2 linked regions of the Oreochromis niloticus genome follow. The protein of the gene in region 1 purifies or fractionates together with the protein of each later gene. This does not show direct contact. Links are inferred from orthologs where the notes say so. Each region holds a gene or a part of one and is shown on either strand. Other genes may lie near its edges.

Region 1 (8,143 bases):
AGCTGCCTGTGCACTGAGCCCTGTGTGCGGGGTCTCCAGAGGAAGGTGACGGGGCCCAGGGGCTGTGAGGGGTACCGTCCTGCTCTGTACACCATGACACTGCCCTGTCTCCTTCCTGACAGACACAGTGCTGCAGCAAATGTAGGGCCTAGAAAAGAAAATCAAAGGCATATAACTAAACTAAATGTGTAAGGTAGCAGGAGTTGCTGCTAAAAACTCAATTATTTCTTACCTGCTTCCTTGCTGGTCAGCTGTGAAAGAGCAGCTAGAAGCTTGTCTTCGTCCCCCTGCAGCTCTATGCAGCAGTAATAAGAGAGATCCTGAGCAGAAATAATGCGAAATGTAAGCTGATGTTCCAGGCAGAGACATTACAGTACATAAAAACTAATTATTCACAGAGTCTGTGTGAACAGCAGGTGGTTACCTGTAGGAGGCAGTGGCTGCTCATTGCTCTGTAGCAAGCCCGGTAGCATTTGTATGTAGGCCTGTCCCCGAGGCAGTAACCCCACTTTTTAACCATGTGGAAGCGCTTGGCGTGCCAAATGTGCGTTTCCAGCCAAATGTTCTTCCGCTGACGGCGGTTGAACTCCAACAGCAGGTTTCCATGGCGCCGCCGGGCCTTGCGGCTCTTGCTCTTTGCCGGCTCCTTCTTCTTTTTTGAGCCAGCCTGGAGGCTCTTCTCCCGCTGATAGAGGAAGGAAAAGTGAGTGGACATGTCCCAGGTACTCAGAGTGGGGGACTTTGTATATAAAACAAGGGTACGGAGGTGTTTGTGAGACAAAGTGCTAAAAATAAAATACGTCCAGAAATTTACCATTCTGTTGGCCACCTCTCTCAGTCTGTGAGGAAGCCGCTTGGTGTTGTGGCTCATGGCTCGTCTCCTCATGTGTTTGGGCAGAGCTTCAAACACATGGCTGCTGCTTGTGGTCTTTCTGACAGCTTTCAACATGGCGCTCACCTCTGCAGCCCTGGCCCTTGCAAAAGCTCCAGCTGAGTGAGGAAGGTAAAGATGGAAATGGAAGTCATTCACTGGACTGTAACTGTTCATGAATACCTTTACAATTCATTTCTTTCATGACTGTCTATGCTCTGAATTAAACTTAATATGTTAAAAATGTTGAGATTTTACCAGTGATGTATTTGGGCATCTCCTTGGTGTAGCCACCACCATCTTTATGATGTCCACGGACCCATCCGCTCTGGTGGGGAGTTTTCTTCTTCCTTTCTGTAGAGGGGTGCACCTCCGAAAGACCACCTTTGAGAGGATCAGCATTTTCTCCTGTCAAAAGTGAGAGTGAGTCATGTGTGGTCTGCCTCTACAAATGTGAGTAAACTCGCCCAACTTAATAAGGCATATAACATCTTTGTCCGCTTGTTTATTCCTTTTTCACATGAATCTCATCATAGAAACAACCTTAATGAGAAGGGATTCCTCCCTTGGAAAAAATATGTTCCCTATATTCACTGTATGAACAGCACATGACAGAGGAAGATGAGGAACTAGAAAGAAAAAAATTTGGAGGGTTTAAAAAAAAAAAAAAAAAAAAATCATAAGAACCAAGTGACAGACAGTCTAGAGGAAAGACTCACAAAACTTTGAGATACACCTACCAGAAGTGCAACAAAACAAAGCAACAATTATCGTTTTCTCTAAGGTCTCTTACACATGAAATAAATTCTTGCATAAAATTATTAATGTCAGTTGGAAAAAGCTAAGTTCAACAGGTGCTGCTAGACCTGAACTCAGGTTATTTCACAATAAATGCTCCGATTTGTCCCAAATTAAGTGTGACCATGGACAGGGGGGTCCTCTAGATGCCTGGAATGCCCTCTAGATGTTCTTTGAACAGAGGCGGTGCCTTACGACACCAACTGTCTGCCATCTATAATCCAGTTTTGAGATCCCTTCCCAGACACCTTAATGCCCACTCACATCCTTGGCCATCTGACCTCAGTAAGTCACATGACAGGGTGGGGCTAGGTTTCACAGTGGGTTCACCCGAACCTTGGCTGATTCTGACCCACACCCGTTTTCACACCTTGGCTCATGTGATTACGTAAAGGATTAATAGGGGGTCCATGACCCTCTTGGGGGACACTCCCATAGGGCTTAAAATCTGGGACTCTCCACCATTTGACCCTAGAACTGAAAAAGCTTCTCGGATGAAACATCTTCAAGAAACTTAAAGAAGTCCAGACGCTTTTCTTTCCAGGCTCCTTAGACTACGATGATCTGGATGACTGAGAGCCTTTGCTCAGGACTTTGTTGAAACACCTTTGGCTGCAATTACAGCCTCAAGTCTTTTTGGGTATGAGCTCTGCACACCTATTTTTGGGCAGTTTCTCTTATTCTTTTTTGCAGACCCCCAAGCTCCATCAGGCTGGATGGGGATCATCAGTTATGTTTGTTATCTTGGATGTGTGCTTAGGGTTGTTGTGCCGTTGGAAGATGAACCTTCAACCCAGTCTGAGGCTCAGAGCGCTCTGGAGCAGGTTAGCATAAAGGATGTCTCTGTACGCTGCTGCACATGTACAAACATCCCTCAGCATGATGCTGCCAACACCATGCTCCACTGTCGGGATGGTACTGGCCAGGTGATGAGTGGTGAATTTACCACAGGTGGGCTCCAATCAGCTATGAAAACAGTCGATCAGTTAAAACAGGATCCACTTGCGCTTGAATCTGTGCGTCATGGCAAAGGCCGTGAATACTCATCTACAAGTTATACCTTTGTCTTTAGTAAATTTGCAAGAATTTCAGGCAAGCTTCTTCACTTTGTCATTATCAGATCTTTCATGTAGAATTTAGTCCATTTTGGAATAAGGTACAACTAACATGTTTTTGTGAGTCTTCCATGACAACACGTGGAACAAGTGACACACTGTGAATACTTTCTGGACGCACTGCATGGCAAGTAGCAGAAATATGAGATATGACATATATCCATATACTTAAATAGGAAGAATGTTCGGTTGTGTTTGATATTTAATGTATAGCTATATCAGATACAGTCATGTATGACCTTATCTTTCAAGTATGTATGATACAGTCCAAGGAGAGCAAATCTGTTCAGTTCACCTTGGCTTTATTCTGCTTATGTGGTTTATATTATCTGCCGGTTTAACCATTTTGGCAGTAACTTTTTATACAAGAATCCATTTCATGCGTGGAAGACTGGAAGAAAAACATATGTGCGCTTTGTTCTGCATTACTGTAGGGGACTCGCTGGTCCTTCTTCCAGTTTAATATGTAATAGGTACGTGAAATAACCAGAGAAGGCTGAGTACCGGTGCCAGGGGCGTCTGCTCCATTCTGTGTGCTGCTCTCCACGTTAGATGAAGAAGATGGATACTGCACACTGGCGGGCTGATTTCTCATCTTCTTCTCCCGCATTTTGACTTTAGCCGCAGACATTTTCTGTAAGATACAATAACACGCTTGAGACCTCGCTATGCGAGCAGCTTATAACCCAAACAGTTGAATGCTGAGCTAAAACGCCAGCTTGCTAGCAACGTTACCTGGCGTAAAGTTGGGGAGTTGTTTTAACTAACAAAACCAAAGCTAAAACATTTCTATACCAAACGTCCAGAGGAATTACACTTCATAAGGTTACCTCAAGGTTCCCCAGCGTGATGTGTGTCAGAAACGCTGTTCCAGCCGCAGGGACCCTCTAGTTTTACGTTTAGCTACCATGTGAGGTTTCCTCATGCTGGTGCTGGTCTTGTTTGCTTCCGGATATGACGTGTTCAGGGGGCTTTGTAGAGTATTAGCGCGTCAACAAAAAAAATCCAATAAAAACCAAGGTACGTTTTCTTAAGATTATATGATATGTTGTCACTATTGTCTCTTGCTTGAGTTGTAAAATGTCTGAGGTGACCAGTTTTGGAACTAAAATGTGTAAAGGGAAACGTGTTTGCGCATGTAATATGTCTTTTACGGTAAAGTAGCTCTGACGTCCTTCTGACATCAGCGCGTTTTCTGCTTGCAGCCTTCTGTTGTACAACTTACTTTTTTCACTTGGGCCGATAGATTTCCAGTGAAATGGCTGCACTAATCAGGAGGATTATCAGCACAGCTAAAGCTCCTGCTGCTATCGGTCCGTACAGGTGAGAAGAGCTTTGAATCATTGCCCTAAGGTTAAAGTTACAGCTGGCACACACCTGCCGCAGCACCAACCTACATTACATTTGCACTGTTAATAGCACTGACTGCCAATTCACTGATGACAGACCACGACTTTTTTGCTTAATCGGGTAATACAGCGATACTGAGTTCACTGTTTCGTCCATAAGATTACTGCTGGGAGAGGTGGGATAGCATATGCCCTCAGAGCTTTTGGGAGCAAAGTTCAGACTTTTGGATGTTGCACTTTAAACTCTACACACACCACTAAAATGTTAAACAATGAAGATAAACAGCAAACTGTGCCCGCGGTTTTTCAATACTTTAGTCTGCAATTAATTTAATTTAATTCAATTTTATTTATATGACGTCAAGTCACGACACCAGTCGCCTCGAGTTTTTTTTTATATTGTTTGGTAAAGAGCCTAAAATAATACAGTGAAGACCCCAACAATCAGACGACCCTCCTGATCCAGCTCTAACTGAAGTTTAAGCCTAATCCTAAAAGCACAGAGGGTTTCTGTCACTCACATCTGCATAGAGAGCTGGTTCCACAGAAGAAGGGCCTGGAAGCTGAAACCTCTGCTTCCCATTCTGCTTTGAAATATCGTAGGAAACAGTTATACCAGTAGTGCTTTACTGGGGTGATATGGTACTTTGATACTATGATCAACTGAAGGCTTTTTAGGTAGTTTTTAGGACATCCTGATAATAATGAGTTACAATAGTCCCGCCTAGAAGAAATAAATGCATGAATTAGTTTTTCAGCATCACTCTGAGACAAGATGTTTCTAATTTTAGAGTTCTTGTACAAATGCAGGTAAGCAGTCCCACATATATGTTTAATAGGGGCACAGAAAAATGACTTCAAGACTCCTCACAGGTATAAAGAGAGTGTTCCCCTTATCGAGAAAAGAAACTGTGTATTTATTATTAAAAGACAGAAAGGGACATAAATGCAATTTTGTGAATCTCTTATTTAAAAGAAATATTTGAAAAAAAAACAATAACCCTCAGTTAAAAACCTACACATGGAGAGATAAGTGACGGAATAGTCAAGCAAACATACAACTTTTTTAACCTCACTTCCTTCATTATTAGTAAATCTTTATTTAGCAAAGATCACCAGAAAGGACAATAAGATTTAACACTCTGAACGAAATAAACCCAGAGTAGCTAAGCCTTTGTCCGTGCGTGTTTGTGTGTGTTTTCCAGCCAAGCAGTGGTGGTGGATCGAACCATGTATATTTCAGGACAGCTGGGAATGGACCCTGCCAGTGGACAGCTGGTGGAAGGTGGTGTTCAGGCTCAAACCAGACAGGTGACACTGGAATCCCCATCATCACTGATTCATTCCTTCATTCATTCATAAACATGGAGTACAGCGACACTTGAAAGCGATCCAGACATCAGTAGATGTTCCTAATTCCTAACTGCTGAGATAATTGCAATGGAGTTGAGCTCACAACCAAACAATTAAGAGACTGCTACAGTGTGAATACATGCAGTCCATTATTTAAAAGAAAATCTAGTGACAATGCTTTTAAAAATAGTGCCTTTTGAAAAAACCCACCAGTTTTCCTGCAGGGGGCCAATTCCTTAATTCTCTGTAATGCTGCAGAATAAATTTAAGACTGGTCAAATGCATCCTTCCTGCAGGATGAATGAGGATATGAAAGTCATCACAAAGTGAGAATTACTTTTGCACAATCATGTACATGACTTCTGTTTCTTCAGGCTCTGGTGAATATGGGTGAAATACTCAGGGCTGCTGGGTGTGGTTACACCAATGGTGAGAGAGCCTTGCCTTTCTTTGCATGTGCACAGAAGAATTCTTTCAACTTTTCAACCACAGACCTGATCATGCACTATTTTCTTTCTTTTCTTGTTATTTCCTGAAGTTGTCAAAACCACAGTGCTCTTAGCCGATATGAACGACTTCACCAGTGTCAATGACGTGTACAAACAATGTGAGTATCAATGATTTAGTTATTAATGTGTATCAGTATGTGTTTGGAGTTATCTGCTGCTGTTGGCCTTCATTTTGCAATACAACGTTAGCCACCAGGTGTCAGCACAGTCCAGACGACATACAGCGCTGCTGCATAACAAGCAGATTTTATAGACTCTTTATTTTTCCAGTAATGTATTCACCCAGAAGGCCTTTACAATAAATCAACCGGTGCTTGAATTTGCCTCTTCATATTCTAAATATGCTGTGGAAACTCCAGAGCAAGTTGAATTATGAAATAAATATTCAGAAACACAGGGGCAGAGTCCAAACACTCACAGGGAACGCTGACATTTGCTGAGTCACTTAGCAGAGTGAAACCTGAGCTTTCCCCACCAACAGATCTTAATCTTAATCTAAATGTCAGACGACAGACTGCCACATCTGACATTCCATAGATTAAATAAAAAACTTTAAGTCTATTCACAAAGCCCCCATATCCATTTCATTGTTTAAGTAGTATGGTAGAAAAGATAACTACACATTTTTCTAATGCCAGTTAATTCAGGTATTGCTCCTACAATTAACTGATCCAAGCACCCAGGTTGATGCACTCTGCGTTGAGTCCATTATCAGTGATTACATCAGTACAGTCAAAATCAGATTATTCTTTCAGTCCACCTCTGTCTTTAAAGGCCCCTCACAGGTGTTTTCACTTTATTCTGGCTGATTAGGCTTTTGCTATGGTTGAAGTTGGGTGCAGCTATGCTGCGGTTACATGAACCGACAAGAACAACAAAGGCATAAATTCTGCTGCCTGAGCCGAGGCCTGTACTACAAAACAGGAACTCATCATATCCAGGTAGCTTTGGGGTTAACCCCGAGTTTTCTGTACTACAAGTGTGGTTCACTTCTTACCAGGGTACATCGCCATGGTAACTTGTGCTTCCATATTAGAGGTCAACAGGTATGAAATCACCACCTACTGACCAGTCAAGTCTCCAGAAAATAGCGTCACCATTACTTGAAGATCCCTCAAACCTCTGTGCACCGAGAATAGGAGTGTCTAAAGTCTTTAATAGCATCAGTAATAAATACAGATATTTTTTTTAATTTAACCTTTTGGCTACAAACATGTTACAATTTTGTTCTTTAAGCATTAATATATAAATTGTACAGATGGAGTTTGTATTTAGTCTTTATTTTTTACTTTTTATTGTTAATTTCTTACTTTTGTGTGAATGCGCTCATACCTCAATCAGGAAACCATTGGTTAACTCAGTGAGTGGATAACCACCTTTGTGATCACAAGTGTTAGGTTCAGTGAATCCAGATAATAGAGAGATAACCAGAGATAACTTTGTAGCGCAGTGCCCAGCACAATCAAGTGCAGTCTGTAGTGACTCATTAATGTGTATTAATTATTGCTGCGGCTTTTCATTGTAATACATTTCCCATTGTGCATCTAATAATGTGGTGTTTTGTACTGATGAAATTTGTGTGAAACTGTATGATAATCATACACTGAATTTTATATATTTGATGTAAATTGTGTCTAATATGTGTGAACAGAGTTAAATTGCTGTGCAGATTAAAATTGTCACATTAAAAGATAAATGTTCTCTTGTTGATTCAGTGCAGGTCTATGTAAATCCAAAAGTGGAACTAATGAGACTAATAACTGCTTGTTCAAGCTGACTGATGATGAAGTAGAGCCCTAGTTTGTGTACTCGCACACCTGTGTTTCTCCTACTCTGACAGTCACTATAAAGAGCTTGCTTGTTTTATCAGTTGATATAAAGGCATGTCAGACAAGGGCAACACTATAAATGCCAGGTACCAGTAGTTAATTGGCTGCTTTGCAGTCCTGTAAGCTTCTGTAGATTCTATATGTGTGTCTGAGTCATTGAAAGTCTGTATGTGTAAATGTGTTGGTGGCCTAACTCAGCTGCTTTCTTTAGTCTTTAGCACCAACTTCCCAGCCAGGGCTGCCTATCAGGTCGCTGCTCTCCCTCGAGTGAGTACTTGACAAAGACCGTTTTTTTTATCCAGTTATTCTTTTGTGCTTT
Region 2 (8,351 bases), about 14 Mb from region 1:
GGTTGAATGACGTTATCTTCTCCAAATGTGTTCCTGGCATTAATTTAACTGAGAGTGGGTCGCTGAGTCAAAGCTGTGTGCCTCATGGATGTTGCTGTGTCACAGATGTGTTGCTTGCAGCTGTCTGAATGAACTCTGAGCATGTCTGTTTCGCTGCTGCGTTGATTTATAGCATCAATGTTTCTAGCCACGCCCTTTAGCGAGAACTCGGTCAGAAGTACCTGCCTTATTTAAAGGTTGTTTTTTGTTTTGTTTTTTTAAGGTTTGGAGGTGGGGTGAGGGAGGGTGTACTTTTGAAATGTCATAAAGCTTTCTCTAACTGAAGAACAATATTTTTATTCAATTCCATTGTAAGCTGTGAAAAAGCTGAAGAACTTGTACCAGCATCATTTAGACATGACCCCATGCAAATAACAATCTGTTTCAACACACGTCGGCTATACCAGCATGGATATTTGATTGAATAAACTCACTTTAAAAAGGAACACGAGTCATGACTCCTTTGTGACGCACTGCACGAAACAGTTTTTCACAGCACATATTTTGAATTTAAGTATTTGTAATTCAGGCAGCACGGTGGTTAGCACTGTTGCCTCACAGCAAAAAGGTCCTCAGTTCAATTCCACCATCAGGCTGGGATCTTTTCTGTGTTCCTTCCAGGTACTTTGGCTTCCTCACACAGGATAAGCAGAAGAGAATGGATAGATGGATACTCGGAATTCTTTATCAAGAACACAGGGTACTCTCTGCGTGCTCGGGTTTCTCCCACAGTCCAAAGACATGCAGTTAGTGGGGGTTAGGTTAACTGGGGATTCTAAATTGCTCATAGGTATAAATGACTGTCACTGTTTCAGCTCTGCGACATGCTGCTATACCCTGCCTCTCACCCTATGTCTGCTGGAATAAGGTTCAGCTCTCCTGCGACTCTAAAAACTTGAGAAGAGATCCATGTAGTTAGTCCATGTTAGTTATTGATAGTTTTATTTATTCATACTAACTTTATCAGAAATAAGTAATGGAGCTGATATTTTGTTTGGGATGTGTGGTGTTATGTCTGTGTCTGCAGAGGCAATGTCATTTCCTGCAAAGGATTAATAAAGGATCTTTCTATTGATCTTAATCTTTCCCTTCCAGCCATCGATCTTCTGCTTATCCGGGTCACGGGACCAGCAGTCTAAGCAGAGGAACTCAGACCTCCCTCTCCCAGGAGGGGATCAAGACATTCCCAATTCAACCAAGTGATGTAATCTCCCAGTACCTTTGTCCATCTATAGATATTTACAGCAAATTAAAATTGGAAAATGATCATTAAGTTGGTTCATTTGTGCCTACCTGAGGTCTAAAATTCTGCTTACATTTCAACATAAATAGACTACTACTTTCTACTTAGTACCTGAGCAATCCAGCACAACAGCTCCAAGATGTTGGTGGTCTAATGGCAGTCCTCTGTATTATATAGAGGAAATATATTTCATTCGAGGGTAAAATATTACAAGCTCCATTTAAAACAAACAGCACTATCAAAATACCGGGAAAAACTTAATTGCCTTTATAAAAAACAATGTGTGCAGACCGGCTTTAATTGTGGACAAAATGAAATTCAAACTTCAGTCAGATCATATTCAATTGTATGAATATGCATGAAACCATATGCAATGCTACTAATCTGCTGAAACAATGAATGCAAACCTGAAGGTCTGAGGCTTCCCCAGATAAAAATACTTGGCAGAAAAGTCTAAACCTTGTTCCCAAAAACCTTTTTTTCTCTTTAAGCTTCCAGAAATTCTTTATATAAACTAATCACATAAGTTATGTCCAGACTGAGGCTGCAAGCACTGTTCAAAAACCCAAAAATAAACAACACTGGAAACTCCTGAGCTAAACAAACAGTCCTTAAAGTTTCTCTTTCACTTTACAGCTATTTCTTCGGCTTCCCTTTCTTCTTCTTTGCAGGGTTAGCAACGATTCTCTTCACCTGGAGCGGCTGCAGAGTGCAGGAGGAGGGAGACTCTGACACCCCCTCATATTCACTTTCCAGTTTCCTTTTTTGTCCCCTTCTTTCACCACCTTCCTCCTCCTCCATGGCAACAGGTTCTTCAGGTTTAGCACCTTGCAGCCATGCCATGTCCAGTGAAGGCACTCTGGGCTTAATGGCATCGACAGTGTCGGTAAACACCCCATTGTCACTGGAGGAGCACCGTCTGAACCCCAGGGCGAGCACGCTTTTCAGCCCCAGCGGCTCCGACACGCTCTGGCTCAGGCGAGGCACCTGGCAGGCCGGCACTCCTCTGGTGGCGCTCAGAGCGATCAGGTGATTGGTCATGTGTTTCGGTTTGACAGACTTGCACACGAGCAGCAGTCTGAGTTCGTTTCTCTCCAGAGCCTTGGTCACCTCGTTGATGCCGATGGCCAGCTGCCGTCTGGCTGCCACATCTGTCCAGCCGTTTTTGGAGGAATCGCTCTCCTGGGGAACAGGTTCCGGTGCGACATCAGGTTTTTTGCCTTTCTTTTTCCTCCATATGCGAAACCCTTTCACTTCTTTTTTTTCCAGACCCATGGAGATCAACTTGTCCTTAAGAGTTTTCAGGATGAAGTGCATGTCCTCTTGGGGGAGCGGGCTCCATTTTGAGGCAAAGGGTGAGGTGAAGGAGGTCTTGGCTGGAGTCTGCTTTTTGATTTCCTTTTTAGTCGGCTTTCCGGGAGCTGCCATGACTGTTTGAAGCATAAAACAACCGACACTGTAAGAAAAGAGAGGAAAAACTGCTTTAGAGTCTGGCATACAATCACTGGACACTTTATTAAGTACACCGTTCACCTGACTGGTAGTGAAGGCAATCAGATGAGTTCACTGTACCTAACCTCCACAATCACCAGATCTCAATCAGATAGAGCACCTTTGTGATCTGGTGGAACAGGAGATTCACATCGTCAACACGTATCACATGTTGATCCCCCAAGAATCTTTCATGAAGAAAAAAAAAGCAGTTCTTAAGGCAAATGGGAGTCCAACCCAGCACAAGGAAGATGTACCTAATGAACTGGCCAGTAAATGTAAATCATTGCTGATGTTAAATTAAAGCACAGAAATGCCAAAGATGAGTTAAACAGCTTATTCACATATAAAAAACGCATACCAGAATCTTTTTTTATTTCCTTGTTTGTTTAAAAGGTAAAAAAGTAAAAGCAGAAAAGAGTAAACACGACTAAGAGGAATAAAGGACATTTTAAGATGAGTGGATAAAATAGAGAAAAACAAGATCACATTTGTTAAAAATTTGTATCCAAAAATCAGACTAAACAAACAAACAACGCCATTATAAACTAATACGATTAGCAACGTTTTTATTTCGCATTTCTTTAACCCACATGGAAATGTCGTTAAATTTCAGATCTTCTTCGGCTCTAATAAAAAACCTTTCGCTTCTGCAGAAGCATTAAAAACAAACACAGCCGCCGTTACCTGTGGTTAAAGCAGATAACGCATTTCTCCTCGTCTTCTTTACAGCTTCAGCCCAGCTGCATGAGAGACACACAGGGCGCTGCCATTTTGTTTCAATTTAAATAACTTTATTTAAAAAGCTCCACAGCGCCGAACAGCGGTGAAAGGGCGACATGACAGTCAAATCATCAAAGAGTCAGCGAAGGCAGTGAAAGTGGAGTTAAAGAGGCGGCGAACACTGTTATCTGACACTGTAGAGTCTGATGTAGGGAAAAGTGCATGAAGTCTCCTTCATGAATCAGCTGGAGTAAAAGTGCACGAGCACAGGAAATATAAAGGAGGCCTTTCTCAATCAATTAATCAATTAGTTTAAATACCCTCAAAGGTGATCAATAAACACCAAGCAATAATATGAATAAAAATGAAACATATAAAATCAAAGGTTTATTTATTCAAATACTTTATCGTTAAGGGAAATGTGTTTCGTATAAACTGAATGTGCACGAACCAAGTAAATTTCATTTGAGCAGACTCCATTAATGGTAACACTTCACACTGTACTTGTGTAACAAAAAATCAAATCTAATAATAATAATACAAAAATTTATATGTAATGAAATTAGTCAGCATTTTGGGCAGATTTTTAAAATAATATTATTGCACGGAGTTCTGTGTAGGAAGCATATTGTGGTAGAGGTTGTATTAATCCTGCTGAACTGATATGATTATATCTCCCTAAATTTATTACACTGTTGCAAATGACACGTCATAAAGTCTCAGTAGTCAGTGGACTAGGTGCCATAGTCCACTATATCTCCCCATTTTATTAAAGTCCGTGTGCGTGTGTGTGTCGCTGTGAGTGAGGGTGACAGGCAGCCAATCAGCACCTCTGCAGCTGTCTGCTCCCTCCCCTACAAGCCTCTGCTTTACTCTCAATAGTGCATCGATCAGCTGTGCTGCAATTACTGCTGCTTAAAACCCTTCAGGGCAGGACATTCATCTGCGCTCCCAGCCTTTACCTTTACCAAGATGACCCTCCAGGTAAAATCCTGCGTTTCTTTGCTCTTTTATTATTGTTATTATTATTTATTAGATGCTACATTGTCGCGATGAACCGAACAGCGCATGCCGTCTTCTGGCCGTATGCAGTCATCCATCTTTGACGGCGTGTGAAGGGTGGATGAAGGAAAGTCGTGCCTAAACGCGTTAATGCTCTCGGCTCAGTGGTCCTGATGCTGCTCTTAGAATTTAGAGATTTCCCGATGAAAATTCACTAGATTTAGAGTTTGTCTCTGTGAGAAATGAGAACATGTGGAGGTAAACTGGATCTATATACAAACATCCGCTTTTTGACCAATCGTCAGCATTCAGAGCTGGATCATTATATATTTCAGCGTCACCTCAGTAAAGAGTTAAAAGGTTTTTAGGTGTTTGTGCATATAAAAAATGGTTCCTGTGGTCTATAATTATCAGTTCTGCTGTGTCCCAGATCCTTTGAAAAGCAGATTATTTGAGTAGGCACACAGGCTCTGGTCTCATATAAAAGCCCATTGTTTATCTCCAGCTTGTGCAACAATCAGTTTCCCAGGACTGCCCCGTGCCTAGAATACCACACTCACATTTCTTATTCAGTGCTTGTAACTCATTAATATGCACACTCTCGTATTCGATGTAATTACTTTACATTCCTGCTGGACTTTATTGCAAAGAGAAGAAATCCTCCAGTCCAGTGTTTTCCCATCACAGACACACTGCTTATGTTTTCTGAAAATTTAATCGTAAACATAAAGAGTGTTCATGTCACCTGCAGGCAGAATTTGACAAGGCAGCAGATGATGTGAAGAAGGTGAAGGCCAAGCCCACAGACGAGGAGCTGCTGTTCCTGTATGCCCTTTATAAACAGGCGGTTGTTGGAGACATTAACACTGGTAGGACCCGCTACAGAGAAACTGAATCACTCCCATAAAGAGTTCACTAAGTTCAGATTTTTTCTCCTCCTCTCTGTGTGCTTTCACAACTGTAGAGAGACCGGGAATGCTGGACCTAAAAGGAAAGGCCAAGTGGGACGCCTGGGAGTCGAGGAAAGGTAACGAGTTAGGAAAGCTTGTGATTGTTAAATTTGTCCATGAGAACTAAACACTTTAACTGAAGGTGCTGGAAAAGTGATTTATTAGCAGGTTATAGATCATACAAGGATATATGAGACAGATATTTTTTCCCAAGTTCACAGCTGGAACAGTTTTTGGTATTTTTCTGTACTAAATAAGGTAAAAGAACTGGTTCTTTTACACTACGAGCCACACACACACATTTACACTTCACTGGATGCAAGGATGCATGCAGACTGGTGGGGCTCCACCTCCTGGTTGCCTGCAGAGTAGCCTATTTAGTACTCAAAACCTGCTGAGTCCACAGGTGTAAATCATGAGAATGAATTTCGTAAAACATGTTTGTGGAGCATGAGCTCAACTCCGAACATGGAGGAATCTGCTCCAAATTAGGTGTGTTCAGTGTCAAATAAGACTCACAGGAGGTAACTTTTAGGAAATTAGAAGTTAGTCATTGTCAAAATATCCAAATATTTTCACCACTTAGTTTCATCCAACATCACAGGAACTTTTTAATTTTACTCGCATATTCATTGATTTTTTTAAATTTATTTTTTAAAGTAAAATTACCCTCAAAAAATGTTGAGTTAAGGCATTTGCAGGTCAACTCCATGATTCAGCTGCACACGAGCTGTTTCTGCAAGTCTGTGTTTAGTGTTGAGTACTTGAGAAAAAGGTGACTACACGCAGATTTTGTTGTAATAGGTTCATTTTTAGTGACATCACACTTGTGCAAAGAGTCAAAGGGTGGTGTTGAGCACCACTCATTTCTTTGTATTTTGCTTCCAATGACTCAGACAATGTAAATGATCTTGAGCAATAGCTCTCCGGGCTTTCTGAAGGTCTTTCAAAGTTTGCCTTTGGACATTGTTTGCTCCTTTAGCTAATTTTCAGTCCAGTCCTTGTACCTGACTATTTTCAGAGGAACTGTTTTATTTGTTAAGCCATTTAACACTGAATCATTCAAGGAATAAATAGTAACCTAACTCGAGCTAATGAACGAGAGCTTCGTCTACACATAACAGACAACTGATCAAAGTACCATTTTTAATCGTTATCTTTAGGCCCTTTGTTACTAGCAGCCTGTTGCACAAACACATCATTTGTTCACATGTCTTTTGCTGAAGCTATGAAAAAGGCCAAAGATAACACAGTTTGACAGGAATAATTTCATATTTTTACACCAACAACGTCATTCCCCAAAAAACTAATCTGTGACCTAATCTGGCAACAATGATCCCAAAAACACTGCACAAATATACATACAGATTTTTAAAAATCCAGTGTTTTAAAGTTTTATATCTTTACTTAAATGGTAAATGACCTGTATTTGTATAGCGCTTTACTTAATCCCTAAGGACCCCAAAGCGCTTTACACTACATTCAGTCATTCACACACTGGTGATGGCAAGCTAAATTGTAGCTACAGCTGCCCTGGGGCGCACTGACAGAGGCGAGGCTGCTGGACACTGGCGCCACCGGGCCCTCTGACTACCACCAGTAGGCAGTGGGTGAAGTGTCTTGCCCAAGGACACAACGACCGAGACTGTACGAGCCGGGGCTCAAACCGGCAACCTTCCGATTACAAGACGAACTGCCAACTCTTGAGCTACTATCGCCCACGTTACCATAACAAAAACACAACCCAGATGCCAGCTTCCATGGTGGTGATTTATCGGAACCTGTTGAGCTCATTAAAGGAAGCGTTCTGTGCTGCCAGGGGAAATACTTTTTTTTTTTTTTTAGATTTATTACCAATAAAAAGACCTGATCTTTTCTAAGCATCTTCATCATGAGAATTTCTCCCATAGTTTAACCAGCTTTTCAGTGCTATGGGTGAAAGGCTCTCTAAGCATGTATACTAATAGGAGAAAACTCCTTTAAGACATTATTATTTAAGTCCAAATCACTCGTAATTTGAACTCTTTCAGGAATGTCCAAGGAGGACGCCATGTCGGCCTACATCGCAAAGGCTAAAGAAGTCATCAGCAAGTACGGGGTGTGAGACGTCCATGAACTGAAGAGGCAGCAGCGATGAAAACAGACTACTAATTCAAACTACTAAATCAAAGCTGCTCTTTACTTAAAAGAGCAGCTTTGCTTCCAGAGGCAATAATTCTGCACAATAATGTGATTTTTAAAAAAATGTCTTTCTATCCTGATTTTTTAAATTACATAGCTCAAATGATTTATGCATTTTAATGATATCTATGCAGTCTTTAACATATTAATCTTTCTATATGTACTGCATACTGGACTTAGATTTGTAGCTTGAATCAAAACAGGACAATTTAAATGTTGGCAAATGCGAACAAACACGTTTTGAAGATTAAACCTTTTTCTGCACTGTTTCCTTTCTTTCATTTGTGCTTGTTTTTATTGAGAGGTTGATTTTTCTTTGCCATCGCTTTAAATGTTGGCATCAGTTACGTCCCTCTTATGTTAATGCATAAGAGATGCTTGCCAGTTAAGGATTGATAAACGGTGATGAACAAAATGAGAAAAAAAAACCTGCATAAAATCTTTACATGGAGAAAGGATTTTAGGTTTTATTCCTCATCACTTGTGTTAAAGTCGTGAAGAGGCCCGACTGTGGTCAGTGCAAACGATTACGGGAAGTTTTGATTGACATACAGTTATTAATACTTAAAAGAGTTGTCTTAGCTGGAACTAAACTTCGATCCAAACATGGAATAGAATACCAACACCGGCTTTGGTGCAAACCTAAGTGGACAAAAGGTGCACTGGAGAGGCAACACCACAGTTCATGGTTTTGAAGGTGGTGGACACAGATGGTTGCTCTC

What was found.
Region 2: the proteins of pop1 (region 1) and rpp38 purify together in Homo sapiens (affinity purification with mass spectrometry; 3 studies listed by BioGRID and IntAct, with this or other methods). This does not show direct contact. The link is inferred for Oreochromis niloticus from reciprocal best matches to the Homo sapiens genes POP1 and RPP38.

What each region holds. Positions count from the first base shown.
Region 1 is NC_031976.2:6,409,101-6,417,243, forward strand, and holds the start of pop1 (ribonucleases P/MRP protein subunit POP1), read right to left. Parts: upstream 3,751-8,143; 5' UTR 3,615-3,750; intron 3,419-3,614; 5' UTR 3,416-3,418; coding exon 3,289-3,415; intron 2,912-3,288; coding exon of another isoform or gene 2,909-2,911; exon of another isoform or gene 2,688-2,908; intron 1,280-2,687; coding exon 1,130-1,279; intron 991-1,129; coding exon 815-990; intron 686-814; coding exon 425-685; intron 321-424; coding exon 233-320; intron 149-232; coding exon 1-148. Other genes in the region: 2-iminobutanoate/2-iminopropanoate deaminase, read left to right, coding at 2,909-2,911, 4,031-4,107, 5,339-5,444, 5,861-5,915, 6,025-6,093, 8,036-8,091. UniProt on the Homo sapiens protein: Component of ribonuclease P, a ribonucleoprotein complex that generates mature tRNA molecules by cleaving their 5'-ends. Also a component of the MRP ribonuclease complex, which cleaves pre-rRNA sequences.
Region 2 is NC_031976.2:20,280,061-20,288,411, forward strand, and holds rpp38 (ribonuclease P protein subunit p38), read right to left. Parts: upstream 3,609-8,351; 5' UTR 3,461-3,608; intron 2,904-3,460; exon of another isoform or gene 2,816-2,903; intron 2,739-2,815; 5' UTR 2,726-2,738; coding exon 1,919-2,725; 3' UTR 1,013-1,918; downstream 1-1,012. Other genes in the region: peroxisomal carnitine O-octanoyltransferase, read left to right, coding at 4,469-4,480, 5,250-5,367, 5,463-5,525. UniProt on the Homo sapiens protein: Component of ribonuclease P, a ribonucleoprotein complex that generates mature tRNA molecules by cleaving their 5'-ends. Also a component of the MRP ribonuclease complex, which cleaves pre-rRNA sequences.